3 linked regions of the Sus scrofa genome follow. The protein of the gene in region 1 purifies or fractionates together with the protein of each later gene. This does not show direct contact. Links are inferred from orthologs where the notes say so. Each region holds a gene or a part of one and is shown on either strand. Other genes may lie near its edges.

Region 1 (7,180 bases):
AAATGGAATACTACTAAGCCATTAAAATTAAGGAAATCTTGCCATTTGCAACATTAATGGACCTTGAGAACATTATGCTAAGTGAGATAAGTCTGAGAAAGACAGATATTGTGTGATCTCATTTATATGTGGAATTTAAAAAACAACAACAAAACAAATAGATAAAGAGAAGAGATTGGTGATTGCCAGAGGTAGAGCTTTGGGGTGAGAGAAATGAGTTAAGGAGGTCAAAAGGTACAAACTTCCAGTTATAAAGTAAGTCATAGGGACTCACTGGACAACACGGTGACTATAGTTAGTAATACTATATTATATATTTGAAAGCTGCTAAGAAAGAGTTTAAAAGTCTTCATCACAAGAAAAAAAAGTTTTTAACTACATGTGGTGGCAAATGTAACCAGACTTATTGTGGTGATCATTTCACAGTATATACAAGTATTGATCATATTGTGCTACTAAAACAAATATAATGTTATATGTCAGTTATATACCACAATAAAAAAATTTTTATCTGGAAGATAAAAAGTATATAGATATGGTGAAATTTTTGGAATCCTGAAGGAAATAGATGAGATAATGTGGATCACCAGATATAGAATACTGTAAGAGCCTGAGGGAAAGAGAGGAAAGGTAGAACAAACTAAGACATTCTGTTTTACACATGGAACTCACAACAATTTGCGAACAGATTTTAAGTTAGATGAATTCAGACCTGTTCCCACCTCTGAAGTAAGGAAGAAAATGATTTTTCTTTTCTTTTCACAGTGCTGTTACCTTTTCTGGAATCCATCTATTGAGATGCTTTATAGCAGATATAACAGGAAATCTTAAGACTAGTGGCTTCCAGTTTAGCTGAAGATTCAAAATTCTCTATTTCAACTGAAGTTAAATACCTAGAATTTCAACATTGTTTTAAATGTTGTGTTTCTGTAACTTACAGAAGGATCACTTCAGCTTTAAAACCTGCATCTTCCCAAAGCAAGAATGAATTTGTGCCTGGTGGGGGAAAGGTTTAAAAATGATTGAATTATACCGTCCATTAGAATAGATACAAGATTTTTCTGTTTTAACAAACTGACAAGAACATATAGAAGAAGTCCATAAAATGAAAACCTGTTTGTTTCCTACTGTGTAGACAACGGTTTGCTATATTATTTATTGGGTTTTTGTCTTTTAAAGAAAATATCTATTACTTATATTTTTTAAAATATTACAATGGACTAGGTTAAAAAAAAGGGGCTACTTTTCTATTGAGCACTGGTAGTTTGAAGATAAATTCTCATATATGTATGGCTATAATTTATCTTTTTTCAGCGTCCTTATTTGAATGTAAAAGAAACTATTCTTGGGATAAAATTTCAGTGGAAGCACCAGTCATTTGAGGCTGGGATCAGTTACCTTAAGGTGACCACAGGGTTTGGAATCAGAAGATGAAGGTTCAAGTTCCAGTTGTAATATTTATTATATGTTGGACGTTGGACAAATTGAATTCTCTGAACTTCTTTTGTTACCTCTTACTTCAGAGGCTATGAAGATTAAAATGTGAAAAGGACATTTGCATATTCTGCATATTTGTAAAGTGAAACCAACCCAAATACCTAGCGAAATTCACAGGTAGATTTATCACAGAAAACATTCTGTCATGGAGGAAGTAACATTTTATCTAATGAAAGGCCAGAAAAGAAGAAAAATAGCTTTAGGTGAGAAAACTGATTTGCAAAAAACAATACCATCGGATAAAAAATTAAGGCTGTTAAACAACTTTGCGGCTTTTTTAGAAAATTCAATTCTGAATATATTTTCAGTTTTATAGTTGATAGTGCTAGTCTCTTCTAACCAGCAGTGTTTTAAGCTTAAAAAAAAAAAATCTTTTTTATATAGGCATTTGCAAGATAAAATACATAGTAGCAACAAAATTATCTTAAAAGTCATCTTTCTACCCGCCAGTGTTACTTTACTGCTTTTCTTAGCCTTGGTTCTGATTCCCCAAAAGCAGGACCCGAGACAAAAGCTTATGTGTAGTAGTTTATTGAGGATGTGATCTCAGGGAACAGGAGTGATGGAGAAATGAAACATGTGGGAGGAAAGACAATCAAAGATGCATTGAGTTGGACACCATGTAGGCACTAGGGCTTGAATTTGAGGGACATGAGGGAGCCTTATGAAGTGTGCCTCTGAATTGTCTTTGAAGGGGGGGTTAGAGGGTGGGCCCACACCTCTTCTACACTATACATGCCCAAATACCAAGCAGTTCATATAGCTTCTCAGAAGCCAGGAGGCAGGGAGAAGCCTTCAGAACAGAGGCAAGGTGGATTGCCCAGTCCAACTTGAAACTGGTTGCCATAGTAATGGCTGAAGTACGAAGACCAAAGAGGATCTGAAGTGATACATGGGAGGTCTCTCACACTGCACTTATAAATGACCTTACTGTTCTAATGCCACCAGAAGTCATTAAATCGGTGTTCACTATGACGATGCTAACAGTAGTTTCTAGTCTAATTTACTGGCTAAGTTACGGGTTTGTATATATAAGATTTCACTTTTAAAACACTTGAATTTGTTTGGAAAAAATAACATAGAATACTATATTCCTTACCTATAAATTGTCACTTCATTAGCATATGAAGCTCTTTACTATTTTTTCCCAGAATTGTAAGGAGCAGGAGGTGAGAAAATGAAGAAATATTCTCAAAAGAACAACTGATGAAGCAGAAAAATATGCTAGGCTTATAGTCCAATCCAGTTTTACCTCCTTAGACAATTCACTGAGCTACTGTTTTTTCCATGAGGGATAATCTCTAGTCTATTCCCGCTGTAAAAGTTTATGATTATTGGACAGTAATGCTACTTCAGATGAAGGAACCTAAGCCAGGGAAACTTGCTGGCTTAGTGGAGTTATGTGCAAATAAAAGCAGAAGCAAGACTGGACCTTAAATCTTTAAAGTTAATGACTGTTTCTAGACTTATGAATGAAATTTCCTTGGTTATTTTCCATGTTTTAAGGCACTAAGTAGTTCTACCACTTGGTAGGAAAGCAGGAGAAATATAAACAACAAAAAGTGACTAGAGATTAAGAACTCAATTAAATCAGGATATTTAGCAAGGATTCAGGGCAGAAGAAAGCTAAACCAGAGCTTATCTAACTCTGCATTTTGGGGTACTTTGTATGAAAATCACCTGGACCCCTTATTAAAAATGCAGACTTCTGTCCCTGTACCCTAGCCATGTTTATCAGTCTCTTTGGAAAGGACTCAATCTGCATTTTTAAACAACCCAAGTGATTCTCAAAATAGCATACAATTTGAGAACCACTGGTACAATAGGTAAGTGAGAAAACCTACAGAAAGCAGACAAGGAAATGGCCAGATAAAGAAAAGGAAACTTTAAAATGATGGGTCCTTGCTATTCCCAACCCCCACTCCCCATTTACTGAAGGCACAGAGTAGGTTTTTTAAACCTAATTCTTCACGTCTTAAGTCAAAATTTGACTATTTAATAGTCAAATATTAAATAACACAAAGCTATGATAAATGTTTATTGAACTGAAATGAACTGCTGTACAATGTTGCACCAACACAGCTCCTCTGAGTCCAAATGGTACTTTCCAGATCTTTCCAGACCTCAGCTATTCTACTTACAACAGCAGAACACTGGATCAGCTGGTTAATCACTTAAGAGTCATATAAAAGCATCTAAACACCCATTAAAGCAAAAATATCATCAATGTCATCTGTCTGAATGGTTCCTAATGTATTATGTTTATTTGTTTGCATCATTGTCCTTTCATTTTCATTGCTTCCTCTAAGATTTTCATGAGTTTGTTCCTCCTTGGTTTGTATGAAAGGATTTGAAACTCCTGTACTCAGGAGTTGCTGCTTGTTAGGGTAGAGATCAGTTCTATGAACTGCAGGGTGTGAGAGTCTTCCTTTAAAGATGTCTGTAGCACTCTGGGTCCCTTTAGGGGACTGCTGGATTTCCTTTGAAAGAATTGACTGTAACTTTCTCTGTGGTTTCCTTTGTCTCAGTGAAAATTTATTCTGTGATCTTCTTTGTCTCAGACGATGCTTTGAAGTTTTGATACCTGAGCCATGAAGAAGGCAGTTGCAAATAGAGGTTTTTATGCACTCTAGTTTCTTTGGCAAACTTTAAAGGATAAAGAGAGGAAAAAAAATGGAGATTGTTAAGATACAGGAAAACATTCTCAAAACTTGTTTTCTTTTTATCAACTTCCAACTGAAAAAAGACAATTTATAAGTCCTACGCCTGTGTACAACTCCAGAATCATAAGGAAAAATAAGGAAATTAGAGCTTCCATCCAAACCTGTTTTCAGAATACAACATCCCCCTGATTTGGACTGTAGGCAAATGTGTCCCCATTATGTTTCCAAAGTAGCTGTTACAACTAGCAAGGGGGCTGAATGGTGAAATATCTCTGTGTGTATTTTAATGCCAAAGCTTTCCCTCAATAATTGCTCATCTGTTCATAATATAATAGGAGGTGAACCGGGGAAACGATGTATCACAGGCAGAAAATTTGCCAGGATGCATCAACCTCATTTCTTGATTAACACCGCTGTGTATTATGGCAGGAAATGAACAAGGAAAAAAGGAGTAAAAGTGAAGAGGGAGTTTTCCATAAATTTTTTAAGAAAATTTAATAAGTTTTAGACTGTGACTCATCCATTGAAACCATTATAAAGTCCTGAACAGATAAATGTGTACAGCTAAGAAATTATGGTGGATGCACAGAATATTTCTTAAAGGATACATAAACACTGGTCAGAGTGATTGCCTCTGTGAAGGGGGAATAAGAATCTTTATGTCTGAAAGTGTTACCATGGGCATCTATTTTTTCCAATAAAAACATAAAACTCTGGTATCTAACTTCATGTACTGTTTTAAGCAGTACTGGCTCACAGTCAAAGATAACCATCTTTAAGCAGTTCTTTGAATGTAAGAGTCACAGGAAAAGGAAGAAATCATTACATGGAGAGTTGAGCTCCTATAAATGGAAATTTTCTGGCCCCAGAGTCTTCTGTGTGCTTTTGTAGGAAGCACCTTCTGCTCTCCCACCCTCATTGCACTGAAGCTGTAGGCAGACTAGCTTTCTCTCCCACTACAGATAGTTCTATCCAACATAAGCAGCAAACAAAATTGCAATTTGAGTCTATTCCAATTTTAGCCCCCAGGCTACTGGACATCCCGTTTTAAAGAAGGCTAACTTGAATACGTACATATATACTTTTGCCCCAAATGAAAACAGAAAAAGTAAAGGAATATACTTTTGTAATATACCTACCTGTAGCCTTGAGCTTCCAAATGTTTAAGCCGGTTACTTTTAAGAAGTTTATTACCCAGAAAGGCAGTCTGGGCCTTGAGTTTTTTGCTCCTACACCACAGAATTGCCGTTTGGATTTCTTCAGAAAGTTGTCTGAAAGTGTCAGCCTCTCGGAATCTTTGCACAAAACTTTTTATGCAAGTTCCTATTGCTTTCTGAGAAGAATGTTTGGTTGCCATTAGTTTGGCTTGAGAACATTTAAATGCAACACTGGTCTCCTAAAATATGGAAAGATGAGAAAAATATATTGATTTGTTACTGACTCAGAAATACATGGCAGCTGAGAAAGTTGACTCACAGACTATTAAAATTTGAAAATGTCTTTTTAAAAGAAGAAAATTTTGAGACACAGCTTTACCTTAAATTTACTTGGTTTCAGAGTCAAGTAACTGGAACCAGCTCTCCTAGGAACAGGTGGATGGACTGCAGAAGTTTCAAAGGTCACAGAGAGCCACAGTTCCTAAGAGAGCTGACAAAACTATTTTGGGGACTGGTATATTGATAAAGGACAAAGACTATGTAACTAAACTGCCTGAGTTCAAATCCCAACTCTGCTGCATATTTGCTGTGTGGCCTGAAGAAATTTCTTATCTTTTTTGTGCCTCAATTTTCTCATCTGAAATATGAAAACAATAATAATAGCACTTTCCTTACAGGGCTCTTGCAAGGATTATATGAGTTGACAAATATAAAGTGCTTTGAACAATTCCTGGCAAAGAGTAAATGCAATATAAGTATAATGATGAGAATGATGTCATCTCCCTCTGGAACTCGTGAATGGACAAAACATAAATGCAAGCTGGAATCCTTGTAAACCTTTAAGAAAGTACTCTGACCCATTAGAAATGATTAAAAATTCGGGGTTCCCTTCGTGGCTCAGTGGTTAACAAACCCAACTAGGATCCATGAGGATGTGAGTTCGATCCCTGGCCTGGCTCAGTGGGTTAAGGATCTGGCATTGCTGTGAGCTGTGGTATAGGTCACAGAAAAGAGGGTGACACTGATGTACTTATCTGTGTTAAATCCAGAACAAGCAGAATTACAGACAGTGGCCAAGGAGAGGAATTGTGTTAATGCTCAAAATGCTGACATGTAGAAAGAAATAGAAGCCTCATGAAAAGGATGAGGATGATGAAAGTAGCTTATAGCATCTAACACCAGTTAAGTGCTGACCACAATCCAGACTCTGTGCTGAACACTTTATGCGCACTAAACCAGGCACAGCCCTATGGGGTACATACCCTTAATAGAAAGTAGATGTATGGACAAGTCAAGAAACTCATGTAAGGTCCCACAGCTAGGACAAACCAAAGCCAAGACTCAAACCATTTCTGTCTGACTACAAAGCCCTTAGTCTTAAGCTGAAATACAATCCACTCCTATGATGGATCCTAGGATCATTTTAAAATTCTAGCAAACCCTTAATGTTTCTGAAGCTATTCTATTAACTGAATTAATTATATGCACTTGAATCCCTTGGGAGTGCCCCTATTCATTCAGAAGCACAGACTGAGACCTAAAATGGTACTATGCTTAGGCTGGGGATAACAACAGAGGTAAGATTCGGTCTCTGCCTTTGGTAAGTGGTCTACTCTACAAATTATCAGAAATCATAAGCTATATTAAAATGAGCCAGACAAACCTGCATAGCTTTGTGTTTCAGCTGTTTGCAGAAAGCCCTCACATCAAATTCTGATGACTTTTCTGTGGAAGGAGCAGACGCAAAAACTTAGGCATGCTATTTTCAAATAGTACAGATACTATTTTCAAATCAACAAATTCCTAAGTGCATGACAACATTCCTTGTCAAATTACTACAAAAAAAAAACAAAGGGAATTAAG
Region 2 (8,067 bases), on another chromosome or scaffold:
TGAGAGTCCTCCCTTGACCATGCTGGCCCCCTGATCTTGGACTTACAGCCTCTAGAACTATGAGAAACAAAGTTCTGTTGTTTATGAGTTACCCTGTCTTTTCCTTTTGCAGCCTGAATGGACTAAAACAGCAATATAGAAAGTATGACCGTATTTCTGTAAATAATAAAAGATGCATTTATTTGTATATGTATTTGTAATTAAATATCTGCCTTTTCATGTTCAAGTCTTTCTTAGAATATATTTAAAAAATTATTTTTAGACATCCATAAAGATATATGTAGAAAGTTACTATAGTTTTCTGCAGGGGCTGCCATAACAAAATACCACAGACTGGGTGGCTTAAACAACAGAAATTTCTCACAGTTTTGGAGGCCGGGAAGTCCAAGATGAAAGGGCCAGCTAATTCAACTCCTGCTAAGGGCTTTCTTCTGGCTCGCAGATGTCTGCTTTCTTACTACATCTTCACAAAGATGAGAAAAAGAAAGGTCTGGTGTCTCTTCCTCTTATTCTAAGGGCACCAGTCCTATAGACTGGGGTCCATCTTTATGACCACATTTGAGCTTTATCACCTTTTCACAGGTTCTGTCCCCAAATAGTCACACTGAAGGTTAGGTTTTCCACATACGAATTTTGGGAGAACACAAATATTCAGTCCATAACATTTATGAAAGTATTATTACTTTTTTTTCTTTTTACGGCTGTACCTGCAGCACATGGAAATTCCCAGAGCTAGGGGTTGAAAAGGAGCTGCAGCTGCTGCTCGGGATGCGGTCCCAGCTGCATCTAGAGGGAACCTATGCTGCGGCTTGCGGCAACACCAGACCCTTAACCCACTGAGCAAGGCCAGGGATTGAACCCGCATCCTCATGGATACTAGTTGGGTTCTTAACCCACTGAGCCACAACAGGAACTCCCAAATATTCTTTCCTTTTTTTTTTTTTTTTTTTTTTGTCTGTTTAGGGCCACATGTGCAGCATATGGAAGTTCCCAGGCTAGGGGCTGAATCAGAGCTACAGCTGCTGGCTTATGCTACAGCCACAGCAATGTAGGATCCAAGCCATGTCTGTGCCTACACCATTTATGGAGAAATGGATAAATTATAACATATCCATATTATGTACTAGTTGGACAAATGTCCAAAATATATTCTTGAATATAAAAAGCAAGTTCAACAATATATGAATCACATTAAAAAAAAAAAAATACAAAAAGAGCTCCCTTGTGGCACATCTGGTTAAGGATCCAGCGTTGTCACCACAGTGGCTTGGGTTGCTGCTGCAGTGTGGGTTCGACCCCTGGGCCAGGAACTTCCACATGCTGTGGGCATGGCCAAAAAAAAAAAAAAAAAACCCAAAAAATTCTCAAATACATAATAATTTTCTACTCACTTATATACAGTCTGGAAGTGTAATCACAAAACTATACGTGATTAACCTTGTACAAGGTCTAAATACTTCTAATTTTTAAAAAAGATAATGGACAATCATCACATTTTTAAATCTGAAAAGTGCAAAAACTTTTTTTAATTGCTTGACTCCATGAAATCATAACTAGACTAGGTGTCTGAAACAGAAACACAGCAAATGTATTTATATAATATGCACTATGGCTCCCAGAGAGTTCATGCTCTGTGCAAAACTGCACTGAATAATCATGGTCTAGAAAGCTGAAAGAAATTATAAAGTCATTTCAATTTTTCTTGCAGGGGCCCAAAGAACATTAACCCCTTCTCCACTCCCCTGTAGCTCTTTCTCTCTCTCATTCTAACACCTCTAAATCCGCCTCAGGCACAGTCCTCTCCTCCCTTTTATCAGCCTTTCTCAGTTCCTTTACGGATGTTCTCCGCTACATCTTTTCTCCCCAACAAGTGGCAATCCGTAGTAACTTTCCAAGACTCGGTTTTTTTCTCTAGTAATTGGTCACACTCTGCATTTTAAAAGATGCTAGAACCAAGCTGGTAAAGACTTTTTTCAGTTGGGAGCAGGGAAAAGCGGAGAACAGCTTAGTCCATTCACAAATAAGCATTGATTTCTCCACATTTTGAATTTTGATTCTGTTAATTATTGGTTCATGCGTATCACAGTTTATCTTCCCAAGTAGCCTATGTTTGGAGAAAAGGCGGTAGGGGATTGCTGTCACTATTTTTATTCTTTACAGTACTTTAATTTTTTAAATTTGTGTAAAAACCATAATTGTGGGGATCTTCAGCACCCCTGCCCGAGGAGCTGCGGTTGGGGGAAGGGTGGTCCTCAGTTTGACAGCGTACTTTAAGATACTCATTTCCAGGCTCGCTTCCAGAGTCTAAGTTTGTGTATTTCTTAAACGTCAAATGCCTTCTTTTCAGGCCAGAACAACCTTAGTGATGTTAAAGATTAAGAACTGCACAACCTCAGACACTGGACCCCCGTGTAATCCCCCGAGCTTTTAGACAGGTGTTAGTATTAGACTTGGAGCTAGAGAACCCTGTTTCTGTAACCACTCCGTCTGGGCACCTTACTTCCTCGTGGCGCGTCTCCCTGTCCGCAAAATGGGGATAGTCACATCTGCCTCTTACCTGTTACGTGGGGACATACGGTGGATACACAACCCTTTTAAAACTTTCTCTTTGGAGAAATCACCCAGGCTTGGTTCCTGCCCTGCTCATATGAAAGAGACCGATTTAGAACCCCCTGTTGGCCTCCCAGTGACGTAATGTCGAAGAATTTTAAATTCGGAGATGTTTCCTCAGAAAGGACAGGGGGTTAAAAACAGAACCGATTAAGTCTGGCCAGCAGCTACATCTTTTCTCCCCAACAAGTGGCAATCCGTAGTCCACTGTCTCTGGCACCTTAAGCTTTAACTTTGGGGAAACAATGAACTCTGGGCTCAGGCCTTCAGGCGAGCCAAAAAACTGGAAGTGGTTATGCCTGTTTGCAGGCCTGCGAGGCATGAGGAGATGGCGAAAGGAGAAATGAGCTGCTCTCTGGTTCACTTACAACCAGCTCGCCCTTCGTACCTAACCCAGCTAAGAGTTGCTGCCGCCATTTTGCAGGGTGGGCTGCGCAGGCTCTTGGCGCAAGGCCCGCGCTCCTGAGCGGGAGAGGACGTGGAAGGTTTGGAGGGTGGGGGAACGCGCGCTACGAGGGGGAAGTACGCGTGCGCACAGGCGGTGGCGGCGAAGTGGGTGGGACCAGGGTACGAATGCGCGTGCTCGGTGGGAGCCCGCGAAGTACCTGGAGGAGGTGGGGGGCGAGGTAGCAAGGAGTGATGTTGAAGAGCGCTTGCGCAGGAGAGAGACTGTGCGGGGAGGGGGGCTTCCGAGCACGCGCGCGGAGGCGGGACTTGAAGAGCTCTCGCGAGATCGTCAGGGTGCTATATATGTGCGCAGGGAGCCCGCGTCCTTTCCCTGGTGTGATTCCGTCCTGCGCGGCTGTTCTCCGCAACACTAGTGGATTATCTCCGTCCGCCTTCTCTCCCACCCAAGTGCGTGCCACCAACCCATGGAAGATTCGATGGATATGGACATGAGCCCCCTGAGGCCTCAGAACTATCTTTTCGGTAAGTACTGGCGTGTTGGGCCAAGGCCGAGCGCGGCCTGGTGGCTTTGGAGTGGGTGGTGGAAATCACACTGAGGCCTGGGCAGGTGGAGAAAGCTAAGCAGGCTGGAGGCCTGCGGGAGTGGGAAGCGAGCTGCTGGGGTCCTGAAGCTTAAGGATGGGGACCTGGGAGGGCGAGCCGGCACCACGGAGTGACTGGGAAGTAAGGGCGGCCTGAAGCGTGAGCGGTCCGAGGCCCAGGGCCTGAGTTAATGTGGAACCCACCGGTTTAGGGTTGGGCGTTAGCTGGGGCACGTGGTAGAGCTCCGGGCATAATTTTTTCCTGGGGTTGCGTGAGTTGGTAGGCTTCTGATTCCAGACTAGTGCCTGATGCTGGACTCCAGGTTGGTGGTGCAAGAGATTGTGGGGGATCAGGGTGTGAGACGTGGGCTTCCTATCTGGACGGAGAGGACAAATGGAGCCTGGCGTTGTCCTACAGGCCTAAAGGGTCAGGAGGTCTAGGGCCCAGACTCGGCCCGGGTTCTTCGGCCGGTTACAGGGGGATGGGAGCCGCGGCCCGGCGTGGGGAGGCCGCTACCGCTGGGAGCACGTGGTTGCCACGTGGTTGGGGGAAGGAGGGGTGTGGGCGCTACATCCGGGGTTCACTGGTGTCTTGTCACTCCGAGCCTGGGGTCCTGGGGCTTAATTGAGGATGGTGGACGGGAAATTTTAGGTGAAGTGGTTCGTAGCGCCAGTACTCTTGAGGTCTTTGTTAAGTGGTTAACATCAGTGCTGGTAGTTCTAGAGTTCTTTTTCTATCTCTCCGCGCTCTTTGCAGATGACTTACTGATACTCGGAAAACTGAAGGTTGCACTTAATAGTTCCAACCCCACAACGCTTGCTTCCAGAGCTGGTGCTTTACAAATGATTTGGGAGGTGGGCAGCAGAGGCAGCCTTCTGTTAAACTTGTAGTTCTATTACCAAGGTTTTGTTGCTCACCTCAATCACACAGTGCCATCCTAGGAGACTTGGGTTGGTTTTTCAACTTCACTAAACTTAATTGTTAAAGCCATTTTTTTTCGGTTAGGTTTTGAAGAAGTGCAAATGCCTTCAAGTTCATTTTGTTATATATCGTGCTGAGATATGTTAATTGAGCAGGAACATTTATACATCTCTTGCAGTAAATAAGTAGATGGCAATTAAATGGTATTATTTAAATTAAAATTTAGTTCTGACTATTAAAATCAGTTTGCCTATTCATGAGTGGTAATGGTAACATGCGCTATACATTAAGGGTTTTATTCTTAGCCGGTTTGAAAAGCTGGAGTTTCTGATCAGTTTATATCAAAAACGTTTGTGTTTACCCTCGGAAATATCCCTGGGATATTTCTAGTTTTGCCTTAGATATAATTTCTGAACAGAGTTTATATATATCACTTGTTAGTTCAGAGATGGATTGTGGACCCGTGTAACAACCTTTAGTTCTCCTACTTTGTAGTCTTTCTGTGTTGTAAATACAAGCTGTCGATGTATGTGTTTGTGTAACCACTGTCATTTCTAAATTGGCACTCCTCCTGGGAGTTGGGGTAGGTAATTCAACTTTTTAAAATAGTGGGGTTTTTATCAACATATGTTAGGTTTGGTTTAAGTTCCAGCTTTTACTAAATCTTTGATACTGTTTCCACCTAAGAAGAGTGTAGTTGAGCATAAAATAGTATGATGGAAAGGAGGAATTTATAAAACTATGAAAGTTATTTGCTCTATATGGATGTTATTTGATGTTTATAGACTTGTGTGTTCAAGAAGGCCTGTAAGAGGTACTTCTGCCTTGCTTTTTGGTAGCTAGAATAGAATAGTAAAATCAAGTAACTTTTGGTTACCCACAGTGACGTTTCATTCAGTGTTATTTTTCTCCTTGTTATAGTAGGGTTGTTTCCTCATTTACAGGTTGTGAACTAAAGGCCGATAAAGATTACCACTTTAAGGTGGATAATGATGAAAATGAGCACCAGTTATCTTTAAGAACGGTACGTAAAACTTTTCAAGACAAAGTACTCTCGATTTCAGACACCGCTTAATTTGTGTGGCTTAACATTAGAAAAGTATTTCTATAGTTGTTGTATATGCTTGGTTTTCCACGTGTGTTATAGAAAACCTGCCGTCTTTACCACTCATTTGATATTTTGAACAGTCCAATCACACTGTTCAGCTTTCCTTATTTTCACTGTTACTGTTTCTCTATTTGCTTTTTAGGGCCGCCCCTATGGCATATGAAAGTTCCTAGGCTAAGGGTCAAATTGGAGCTGCAGCTGCCGGCCTACACTGCAGCAACACAGGATCCGAGCTGCCTGTGCAAATCTGCACTGAAGCTCCTGGCAACATGGGGTCCTTAACCCACTAAGGGAGGCTGGGGATCAAACCCGCATCCTGATGGATACACATTGGGTTGGTAATCCAATGAGCCACAATGGGAACTCCCCAGCTTTCCTTATTGTGTCATCTACTTTTCTTGAGTTGTATTAAAAACTCTTTAGGGTAGTGACAAATATACATCTTGTTCCCCAGAGACTAGGCTATAGCCTACTACTTAAATTGTAGGTGGCCGGTAAATGTTAGGCGATTCATACTGTGAGTTAACAGTGGTGATGGCATAAGTATGTGTCATCAAATGCATTTTAGTGTATTTGTTCAAAGTTACTGAGTATGAGACTAGGGTCACATAAAACTTGAAGACAACTTTGAGCTCGTCAGTTTTCCATCAGTGGTAATAATGGAAGATGAATAATTATTCTGTATTTTAAAAAACTCATGGGGGGGCATTGTAAAATAGTGACAGTTTGAAGTACTGTTTTTCTATTCACAGGTCAGTTTAGGGGCTGGCGCAAAGGATGAGTTGCACATTGTAGAAGCAGAGGCAATGAATTATGAAGGCAGTCCAATCAAAGTAACACTGGCAACTTTGAAAATGTCTGTACAGCCGACGGTAAGGGCACTTTTATGCTTGGGATTTTATGTCCTTCTAATTCTTAACATTAAGATGGGTATCATTTAGGTTACACTAAGGAGATTGGGGAATGAGCTTTGGTTTTTCTTATAGTCAGAACTGTGTTGTCATTGGGGTTGACTGATCAACTCTTGGAACAAGGTGGTAGCTGCTTGCTTATCAGAGGTGGAAAAAAGATTCATTGGTTTGTTCATTTGGCCAGATGGGTTTGCTTCTTCAGTAACATTTTTAAGTATGAACAGGTTTTATATCAAACATATAATCTTAATTTTCTTCACACTATTTAGTGATGGATAAATTTCTCCTTTTTAGGTTTCCCTTGGGGGCTTTGAAATAACACCACCTGTGGTCTTACGGTTGAAGTGTGGTTCAGGGCCTGTGCATATTAGTGGACAGCACTTAGTAGGTATGTTATTTTTGTGTTATGTTGTTTTATTTTTCAGCAGCTACTTTGTTGCCAATTTGGAATAGGGTGTCTTTAGTTATAGTACTACTTACTGTCTGAGTTCAAGTGGGAATCTAGTCATTTGTAGCATGTAAAACCCAGTAATGAGTGTTAGCACTCAAAATACCTTTTTTTAAAAAACTTGTACCTTTTTTACTGTTTTTCTATAGAATCTCACTTTCAAAATACTCAGTATCCCTTTTTCTGAGTTCCTGCTGTTGGTTGAGTTTTCGTGGTAGCTAATAACGAATTTTATTGCAGCTGTAGAGGAAGATGCAGAGTCAGAAGATGAGGAGGAGGAAGATGTGAAACTTCTGAGTATATCTGGAAAGCGTTCTGCCCCCGGAGGTGGTAGCAAGGTTCCACAGGTATAGATGTGATTTATTGCACATTGAACTTCTTGTGGCCTTTTGTTTGGTAGTTTGGATTAATTATAATTAGTACTTGCTTAGGATTGTGTCCGTTTATTTTTTTAAGAAAAAGGTAAAACTTGCTGCTGATGAAGATGAAGATGATGATGAAGATGATGACGACGATGACGAAGAGTAAGTAGTATGCCCTTAGAAACCTGACATAGTTGCATGGGGAGTTATAAAAATTATTGAGAAAAATCATCCTGTGGGATTCGTGACAGTTACAAAAGGTAAATGGTCAGTGGTTGTCAGTTTGGGTTAAATGAACTGAGGTAAAGGCTGGAGTATGCAGCATTTCCCAAATGCATTTGACTAGGTGACTTTTTAGTCTGTGATCACATTCTTACATGCTAACAAGTCAGGTGTTGATGATGAATAGTTTGTAATAAATGGATTGAGGAGAAAGAAAATCTGAGTAACGCCAGCTACATCGATTTTGTAGGTTGTCATGTGAAGTATTTTCATCACAAAGGATCTTGGCATGTGATTGTCTGGCCCTCATGAGAAAATACGATTCTATGGAGTTCCCGTCGTGGCGCAGTGGTTAACGAATCCGACTAGGAACCATGAGGTTGCGGGTTCGGTCCTTGCCCTTGCTCAGGCGTTGCCGTGAGCTGTGGTGTAGGTTGCAGACTCGGCTCGGATCCTGCGTTGCTGTGGCTCTGGCGTAGGCCGGTGGCTATGGCT
Region 3 (8,090 bases), on another chromosome or scaffold:
CCTGCCCCTTTGGGTACTAGAGTGAGACTGGGGTGGGCAGAGAGAGCCCCCCCAACCCCCCTCCAGCTGCAGTGGTCGATGAAGCTGGCGTTTGTTTAGCTTCTCCACTCAATACTCTAATCCTGCCAAAGACCTAATAGACTATTGAGCAGTCCCGGGGGACGGCACAAGCATCATTGGGCAGTGTGCGTTGTGTTTTACAGCCGTTCCTGAGCATGCTGCCCGCCTGCAGCGCTTGGCCCAGATCCACATCCAGCAGCAGGTATGGGAGGGAGAGGACTGGAAGGGAAAGTAAAGGCAGTGAGGCTCCGAGTCCACACCCCAGCCTCCTGGGGATGCAGCCTTAGGCTCCCATAATGTCAGCTTCAGGGGAAACTTAGGGTGTATCCTTGGTCTTCCATCTGCCTTCAAGAGGGGAAGGGACTTGCCTAGGGCCACATGCAGGTCTCCTGCCTCACAGAGTAGGGCTATCCTGAGACACCAGGAGGTTGAAGTTGGGAGGTACCCAAGAATTCCTGGGGATGATGTGTCCTTGACCATGAGTGGAAGAGCTGTTTTTTCACTATTCTTAGGCCCTAGTATAAAGTTCAAAGGGGGTTCAGAACTAGGGGACAGGGGAGGAGGAGATAAATACTAGCAGGAATATTTCCTTAACTATGATTCCATTCCTCTCTGTCAGCCTTAGGACTGCAGTTAGATTACCCATCCCAGAGCCTGCAAGTGCCCCTTTAGAAATTTGCTCCTTGTGGCTCTGGGGTTAAACATCACCTTTTCTAGGCCCTCTGGGGAGTGGTGAGGCAGGAAATAGAAAGTGGGCTTTATCCAATGCCTTTCTCTGCCACTCCTTGGCCCCACAGGACCAGTGTGTGGAGATCACTGAGGAGTCCAAGGCTCTCCTGGAGGAATACAACAAGACTGTATCCTTTCTGCTGTCCAGAGTCCTATCCCCTTTTCTATTTCTGGCTCTGGCTCTCCCATCCCATCCCAACCAGCCTCTCTACTCCCCTGCTCCTCCACCCTTCCGACAGGTACAAAAATCTCTCCACTCCCTCTTTCAGACTCCTGTTCTCACCTTGACCTTCAATCAGACAATGCTTCTCTCCAAGCAGTTTGTGCAGTGGGATGAACTACTTTGCCAGCTAGAGGCTGCCAAGCAAGTGAAGCCAGCCGAGGAATGATGGCTGCTGCCCACCCCAGGTGGATCAGGACAACCAGGCTTCAAGCCCTGGGACAACCTGCCCTTGTAACAGGCAGAGCAGAGGCAGCTCTCTATTTATTGGATTCACACCCTACCTAGACAGGCTTAGGTGGGGCTCTTGCTACTTGAGATTTGCTATTTGCGCCCCTCCCCTCATCAGTGTCCTAGTCCAGTGACAATAAACTGTGGAGATCATTGAAGGAGTGTGCCAGCTTCCTGATCCAGGATGGGGGTGGTGGTGGGGATAAGGGTGGTGGAGGCCAGAGAGTGGCATCAGCCTTCCTAGTAGTTTGGACCAAGAGCTATACTCATTAGTCTGGCTTTCTGGGAAATGTAGAGCTCTCATGACAAATGCTCTCATTTGCTTGATGTGAGTGGACATTCGTTTATGTGTCCATTTATCCCACATTTACCAAGTACACGCTAAATGTCAGATGCCAGAGTTACTCTTGTGGCGCCTAAGAAGTGAATCCGACTAGACCCTAAAAAGACAAAAAGACCAAAAAAATAAAAAGAGAGAGACATTGTTTGGAGTTCCCGTCGTGGTGCAGTGGTTAACAAATCTGACTAGGAACCATGAGGTTGTGGTTCGATCCCTGGCCTCGCTCAGTGGGTTAAGGATCTGGTGTTGCCATGAGCTGTGGTGTAGTTTGCCGATGCAGCTCGGATCTGGAATTGCTGTGGCTGTGGCTGTGGCCAGCAGCTACAGCTCTGATTAGACCCCTAGCCTGGGAACCTCCATATGCCAAAGGTGCAGCCCTAAAAAGACCAAAAAAAAAAAAAAAAAAAAAAAAAAGAAAAAGAAAAAGAGAGAGAGAGAATCCAACTAGTAACCAGGAGGTGGCAGGTTTGATCCTTGGCCTCGCTCAGTGGGTTAAGGATCTGGCACTGCCAAGAGCTGTGGTGTAGGTCGAAGATGTGGTTCAGATCTTGCGTTGCTGTGGCTGTGGACCAGAAGCTGTAGCTTGGATTGGACCCCTAGCCTGGGAATCTCCATATGCCACGCGTAGCCCTAAAAAGAAAAAAAAAAAAAAAAAAAAAAAAAATTAAAAAGGTCAGATGCCAACCAGGTGGGAAGGACACAGATAGGGTCCACCTGATCCCTACCCTTTACAGCCTAGCTAGGGAGACAGTCAAGGAAAAGGGAAGGGGACCAGGTGGCACCAGGGTTCTTTGTGGCACAGAAGAAAAAGGAAAGTGGGGGACATCCCTGGAGGGTGATACACAGGGTCTTTGAGAGCCGAGGTTGCAGCATGTGCAAAGGCAGAGGGGAGCTTTTAAGTTTTTTTCTGGGGAGCCTACTTGGTGCTATACCGAGAAGGGGAGCCTAAAAGAGGTTTGGAGACGGGGATTTTAGTTGGGTGCGGGGGTGGTTGGAAAGGAGAAGGGGCAGGTTGGAGCCGAGAAACAGTGGCACTTCACTCCACCAAGTGTTTGCTGCCCCCTTGTGGTCTCAGGGACTGCTGTGCCTCCAGGCCCCTTTCATCCGCCGCCGGCCTTCCACCCCACCCGCGCGGTCTCGTTGGCATTTCGAATTGAGCTCGTCTGATACTGGGAGTCATCCTAGACTCTTCCCTCTTTCTCCGTCGGAACAGTCGCCAAACCTACTTCCTGTTATCTTCCAAATGAATCTACTTCTCCCCATTACTCTGCCATTTCTCTAGTTCATTCTTTCAACAAATAATTTAACAAATATTTGAGCCCTATCATACGCTGGTCCATGTGGACACGCCCCCGGGAGTCACCAGCGGATGCGGCCGGTCCCCGCTCCCTTCTGCGCTGCGGCCAGAGTGAGCTGTGCCAAAAAGATCTGGTTTGACCTGCGCCTGATGAAACCTCCCCGTGATACGCCAGTGTCCACAAGATGAGGTCTAGACTCAGAACTCTGTGACCAAAGTTCTTGTCCCCGCAGCAGCAGCCCCCCTCTTGCTCCCGTCCGAAGTGAAACCCGCTGCTCTGCCTTTGTTACTGCACTGTGTTCAACAGAGGTCAAATCCTTCACTTCCTTCCGACGGGAGACGACTCCTAATACCCTCATGCCACCGGCCCTCGCGTCGCGGCTGGGCTCATACCCACAAGCTGCCGTCGCGGCCGCTCTCAGTTTGTGGGCAGAGTCGCCTCTGGTCCTGTCTCCTGAGGCCCCGCCCCGTCCGGCGTGCGCGGCCCCGCGGCCTCGGCGCGCCCCCGTCCCGCGCCATTTTGGACTAGGAGCGAAGTGGTAGAGTGCGTGGCTGCTGTGGTGAGAGCTAGAACCCAGCGGGGTGAGGGCGCCCGGAGTCGGGGGCAGGAGAGGGGAGGCCGGCTGCTGGGCCGCTGCGCCCGCCTGGACACTGGGAGCAGCCCGGGGCGGTGGCGGCCGCGGACCGGCCGCCAGGAGTAGCCCGAGCAGCCCTCCACGCTATCCCCGACTTACTGAGTGACCTGGGTTAGGGGAATCGACCCAGGGGATCTTTGGGCGAGGGATGCTCGGCCCTGTCCTGGAGGTCCTGGAGTTGGGGAGGGGGTCACTTCTGCCTTTGAGGAGCTTTTGGAAGAGGGGTCTGCCTTGGGGAGCTTGGGGTGTAGAGGCTTGGCCCTGCCCTCCGGGAGCACGAAGTGAGGGAACCTTGTCCTCGTCCCTCCTTGGAGAGTCCAGGGAGAGGAGCACAAAGTCTTGTTCTCAAGCAGCCTGGGCCGAGGGCCCCAGCCCTGTCCCAAGGCGCCCCAGATGAAGGAAGTTCGTTACCAGTGCTGGGCAGCTTGGGATGAGGGGGCTCGGCCAGTGGGGAATCTGGTCCTGTCTCTGGGACTGCGGGGGTCGGGGGAGGGTTATGGCTCTGTCCGGAGGAAGGGGATACAGCCCCCTGTCAGGGGGAGGCAGGCATCCCTGCTCTGGGGGTGAGGGGATGTGGTCCTGTTCCTGGGAAGTCTGGGTTGAGGAGCACAGCCATGTCCTAGGGAGCCAGGGATGGGGGGTGGGGTGGGGGATGGCCTGGGGCACCTTGCCTAGCATTCCTCTGACACCTCCCTGCAGCGGGCAGCAAGATTGAGACCCAGCAGCAAGCGAGATGGAGCACTACCGGAAAGCTGGCTCTGTGGAACTACCAGCACCTTCCCCAATGCCCCAGCTGCCTCCTGATACCCTGGAGATGCGAGTCCGAGATGGCAGCAAGATCCGCAACCTGCTGGGACTGGCGCTGGGGCGGTTGGAGGGTGGCAGCGCCCGGCATGTGGTCTTCTCAGGTTCTGGCCGGGCTGCCGGCAAGGCTGTCAGCTGTGCCGAGATCGTCAAACGGCGGGTACCAGGCCTGCACCAGCTCACCAAGCTGCGCTTCCTGCAAACAGAGGACAGCTGGGTGCCAACCTCACCTGACACTGGCCTAGATCCCCTCACAGTCCGCCGTCATGTGCCTGCGGTGTGGGTACTGCTCAGCCGGGACCCCTTGGACCCCAATGAGTGTGGCTATCAGCCCCCAGGGGCACCCCCTGGCCTGGGCCCCATGCCCAGCTCCAGCTGTGGCCCCCGACCCCGAAGAAGGGCACGAGACACCCGGTTCTGAGGACCTGCCAAGCAAGCTGTTCTCCAGGCCTGAATGTCTAGGATGGCTGTGCCTTCTTTGAGAAGCCCTGTAACTGCTCAACATCCCCATCTAGACTTGAGGTTACAGAAGTGGACCTCCCTGTCCTACTTCAACTTCCCTCTGGCTGGTGGAAAGGGACTGTGATGAAGAGTGACAGGTGTGGGGTCTCTGCTGAGTTCTGGATTGCTTAAGAGGAGCTTATTCTGCCTTCCACCTACAGTGACTCTGATCTACCTTCTGACAGAGGTCTGAGGAGTGGGTTAGGAAATAAAAGTTCTGCCCATTTGATAAGCCTCTGCTCGGCCTGCTGTGTGGAGGTGGGATTAGGGGAAGAGGAGTCCTTGCCCTTGACCCCCAGGAGCTCACAGGTGGGAGACAGGAAGGGTAGGCTCAGGTTGGTGCTGGAAGGATCTAGGGTTGATTAAAAAGCCTCAAGTGGTAACCTGTCTGTGTCTAAACCACTGGGTGGCTGACTGCTGCCTGTTTGAGGCTGGTTTAAAGACTCTCTACCAGGACAGACATTTTTCCTCATCTGTAGCATGTTGATATACTTCATTCTATTGCACGTCCCAAATACTGTGTTTTCTACAAAGTAAGTAAGGGTTTGTAGCAAGCCTGCATTGAGCAAGTCTGTTGGCGACATTTTTCCAACAGCATCTGCTCACTTTGAGTTTCTGTCACATTTTGGTAATTCTCACATTGCAAACTTTTTCATTGTTATGTTTGTTATAGTGATCTATGATAAGTGATCTTTAATGTTACTGTTATAACTCATTGAAGGCTGAGGTGATGGTTCAACTTTTTCTAGTAATAAAATGTTTTTATTTTTATTTCTTTGCTCTTTTTTAGGGCTGCACCTGTAGCACATTGAGGTTCCCAGGCTAGGGGTCGATTCAGAGCTGCAGCTGCCGGTCTACACCACAGCCACAACAATTCGAGATCCAAGCCTTGTCTTTGACCTACACCAGAGCTCACGGCAACTCTGGATCCTTAACTCACTGAGCGCGGCCAGGGATCAAACCCACATCCTTATGGATACTAGTCAGGTTAATTACCGCCAAGCCACAATGGGAACTCCTAAAGTATTTTTAAATTAAGGTATGTACATTGGTTTTTTAAACAATACTATTGCACTCTTAATAGACTATAGTATAGTGTAAACAACTTTTGTGTGCACTGGGAAACCAAAAAGTTCTTGTGACTCGCTTTATTGAGATCTTCATTTAATTGAGATGGTCTGGAACTAAACCCAAAATATCTCTCTCAGGTATGCCTGCATTATAGTGTAGTGTTTAAGATCGTAGACTTGAGCACCAGACTACCTGGATTTGAATCCTGGTTTTGCCACTTGCTAGCAAGTTACTGTTTTGTGACTTTGGGCTCTGTGCTTTAGTATTCTAAAACAGGGTATAGTGCTTACCTCATAAGATTGTTATGAGGGAACCTGTTGTGGCTCAGGTGATATCTAAGAATCATATGTGTATATTTTCCACATTTAATCCTAACAGTCTTTTTTTTTTTAATTTGACTAGCATCTATGAGGACGCAGGTTCAATCCCTGGCCTCGCTCAGTGGGGTAAGGATCCAGCGTTGCTGTGAGCTGTGGTGTAGGTTGCAGAGGTGGCTCAGATCTGGAGTGGCTATGGCTGTGGCATAGACCAGTGTCTGTAGTTCTATTCAACCTGTAGCCTGGGAACTTCCCATGTGCCGCAGGTGCAGCCCAAATAAAAAAAGACAGAAAAAAGATTGTTAGGAGTTCCCATCGTGATGCAGTGGTTAACGAATCCCACTAGGAACCATGATGTTCCGGCCTTGCTCAGTGGGTTAAGGATCCGGCGTTGCCATGAGCTGTGGTATAGGTTACTGACTCAGCTCGGATCCTGCATTGCTGTGGCTCTGGTGTAGGCCAGTGGCTACAGCTCCGATTAGAACCCTAGCCTGGGAACCTCCATATGTCGTGCGAGTGGCCCTAGAAAAGGCAAAAAGACCAAAAAAAAAAAGATTGTTAGGATTAAATGTGGAAAATATACACATATGATTCTTAGATATCACTTGGGCCTATATACACTAAGCCCTCTGTATCTGTGGGTGTGGAACCTATGGACACAGAGAGCTGACTGCCCTACGCCATTTTATATAAGGGATTTGAGCATCTGTGGATTTTGGTAAAAAAAAAAAATCCATGAGAGAGTTCCCGCTGTGGAGGGGAGAGGTGCACATTGCAGTGGTAGCCAGGGGCTCCAGGAACCAGAGCAGGATTATGGGTAGGCAGGAAGGAGTGAGTGAATTGGGTCTCCCACTGAGTTTTATGGTTATCTTCATTGTGTCCAGTAGCCTGGGTGTCCAGTTCCAGGAATGCAACACGGACCCTTGTGGCGGGTGGGCACAGCAACCTGAGAGTGTGGAAGAGATGCTTGGCTGAGTCCAGGCAGATATTGGGAGAGATGGAGATGGGGGACTGGAGGCCTCAAGGTGGGCCTAGAGCAGGGAGGAGGGGACCACAGGGTCAGCACGCTGTTGTCAAAACTTTGAATACTGCATCCTTTGCTTTCCAAGGTAAGTTACCCAGAGTGGAGGGGCAGGTAATGGAGACTCAAGGGATATTATTAGGATAGACAGGAAACCCTCTCAGCAGCTGCCCAGCCAGGCCTCTCAGCTGCAGAAGGTCATGAAGCATCTAACACACTTCTAGAGGCTGCCCTCCTCCCCTTGCTTTTTCTCTGAGCATTTTTTTTTTTTTTTGGTCTTTTTTAGGGCTGCACCTGCAGCATATGGAAGTTCCCAGGCTAGGGGTGGAATTAGCTGCTGGCCTATGCCATAGAAACAGCAATATGGGATCTGAGCTGCTGTGGCCAGGGTGGGATGATCATGTAGAATAAGTGTGGTGACATGTGCTGGGGGAATGATCCAGAGTGCTAGGATGGGCTCCCAGTTGGGCACCCACCGGGGATATCTTTTCTTCACATTTTCTCCCTAATCCACTGTAGAACAGCTTCTTTTGTTATTGTTATTATTATTATTATTTTATGGTGGCGTTTGGCAGTTCTTGATCCAGGGAATGAATCTGAGCCGCAGCTATGCTGGATCCTTTAACCCACTGCACCCTGCCAGGATCAAAGCCACTCCTCTGCAGCAACCCACTACAGTCGGATTCTTAACTCAATGTACCATGGTGGGAAGCAAGTGTTAATGTTTGGGCGCAAAAGGTAAGAAAGTGGAGACAGCTTTTTTAAGAAATCATATTGTGATGGGAGGAAAGAGGTAATTGTGGGATACAGAGAGAATTTTCCTGTTTATTTAAAAAGAATATGCAGAGACGTGAGCATGTTTAG

Evidence for each region. The genes of interacting proteins can lie anywhere in the genome.
Region 2: the proteins of NEPRO (region 1) and NPM1 purify together in Homo sapiens (affinity purification with mass spectrometry; 4 studies listed by BioGRID and IntAct, counting the BioPlex papers as one, with this or other methods). This does not show direct contact. The link is inferred for Sus scrofa from reciprocal best matches to the Homo sapiens genes RMP64 and NPM1.
Region 3: the proteins of NEPRO (region 1) and RPP25L purify together in Homo sapiens (affinity purification with mass spectrometry; 3 studies listed by BioGRID and IntAct, with this or other methods). This does not show direct contact. The link is inferred for Sus scrofa from reciprocal best matches to the Homo sapiens genes RMP64 and RPP25L.

The regions. Positions count from the first base shown.
Region 1 is NC_010455.5:146,909,588-146,916,767, reverse strand, and holds the end of NEPRO (nucleolus and neural progenitor protein), read right to left. Parts: exon of another isoform or gene 7,043-7,180; coding exon 6,981-7,042; exon of another isoform or gene 6,017-6,980; coding exon of another isoform or gene 5,995-6,016; exon of another isoform or gene 5,799-5,994; coding exon 5,697-5,798; exon of another isoform or gene 5,557-5,696; coding exon 5,300-5,556; exon of another isoform or gene 4,144-5,299; coding exon 3,693-4,143; 3' UTR 2,013-3,692; downstream 1-2,012. UniProt on the Homo sapiens protein: May play a role in cortex development as part of the Notch signaling pathway. Downstream of Notch may repress the expression of proneural genes and inhibit neuronal differentiation thereby maintaining neural progenitors.
Region 2 is NC_010458.4:52,777,061-52,785,127, reverse strand, and holds the start of NPM1 (nucleophosmin), read left to right. Parts: upstream 1-3,265; 5' UTR 3,266-3,482; coding exon 3,483-3,540; intron 3,541-5,465; coding exon 5,466-5,545; intron 5,546-6,381; coding exon 6,382-6,501; intron 6,502-6,834; coding exon 6,835-6,928; intron 6,929-7,228; coding exon 7,229-7,335; intron 7,336-7,444; coding exon 7,445-7,512; intron 7,513-8,067. UniProt on the Homo sapiens protein: Involved in diverse cellular processes such as ribosome biogenesis, centrosome duplication, protein chaperoning, histone assembly, cell proliferation, and regulation of tumor suppressors p53/TP53 and ARF.
Region 3 is NC_010452.4:32,185,842-32,193,931, forward strand, and holds RPP25L (ribonuclease P protein subunit p25-like protein), read left to right. Parts: upstream 1-3,340; 5' UTR 3,341-3,437; exon of another isoform or gene 3,438-3,459; intron 3,460-4,211; 5' UTR 4,212-4,245; coding exon 4,246-4,737; 3' UTR 4,738-5,588; downstream 5,589-8,090. Other genes in the region: DCTN3 (dynactin subunit 3), read left to right, coding at 204-262, 858-1,178. UniProt on the Homo sapiens protein: May be a component of ribonuclease P or MRP.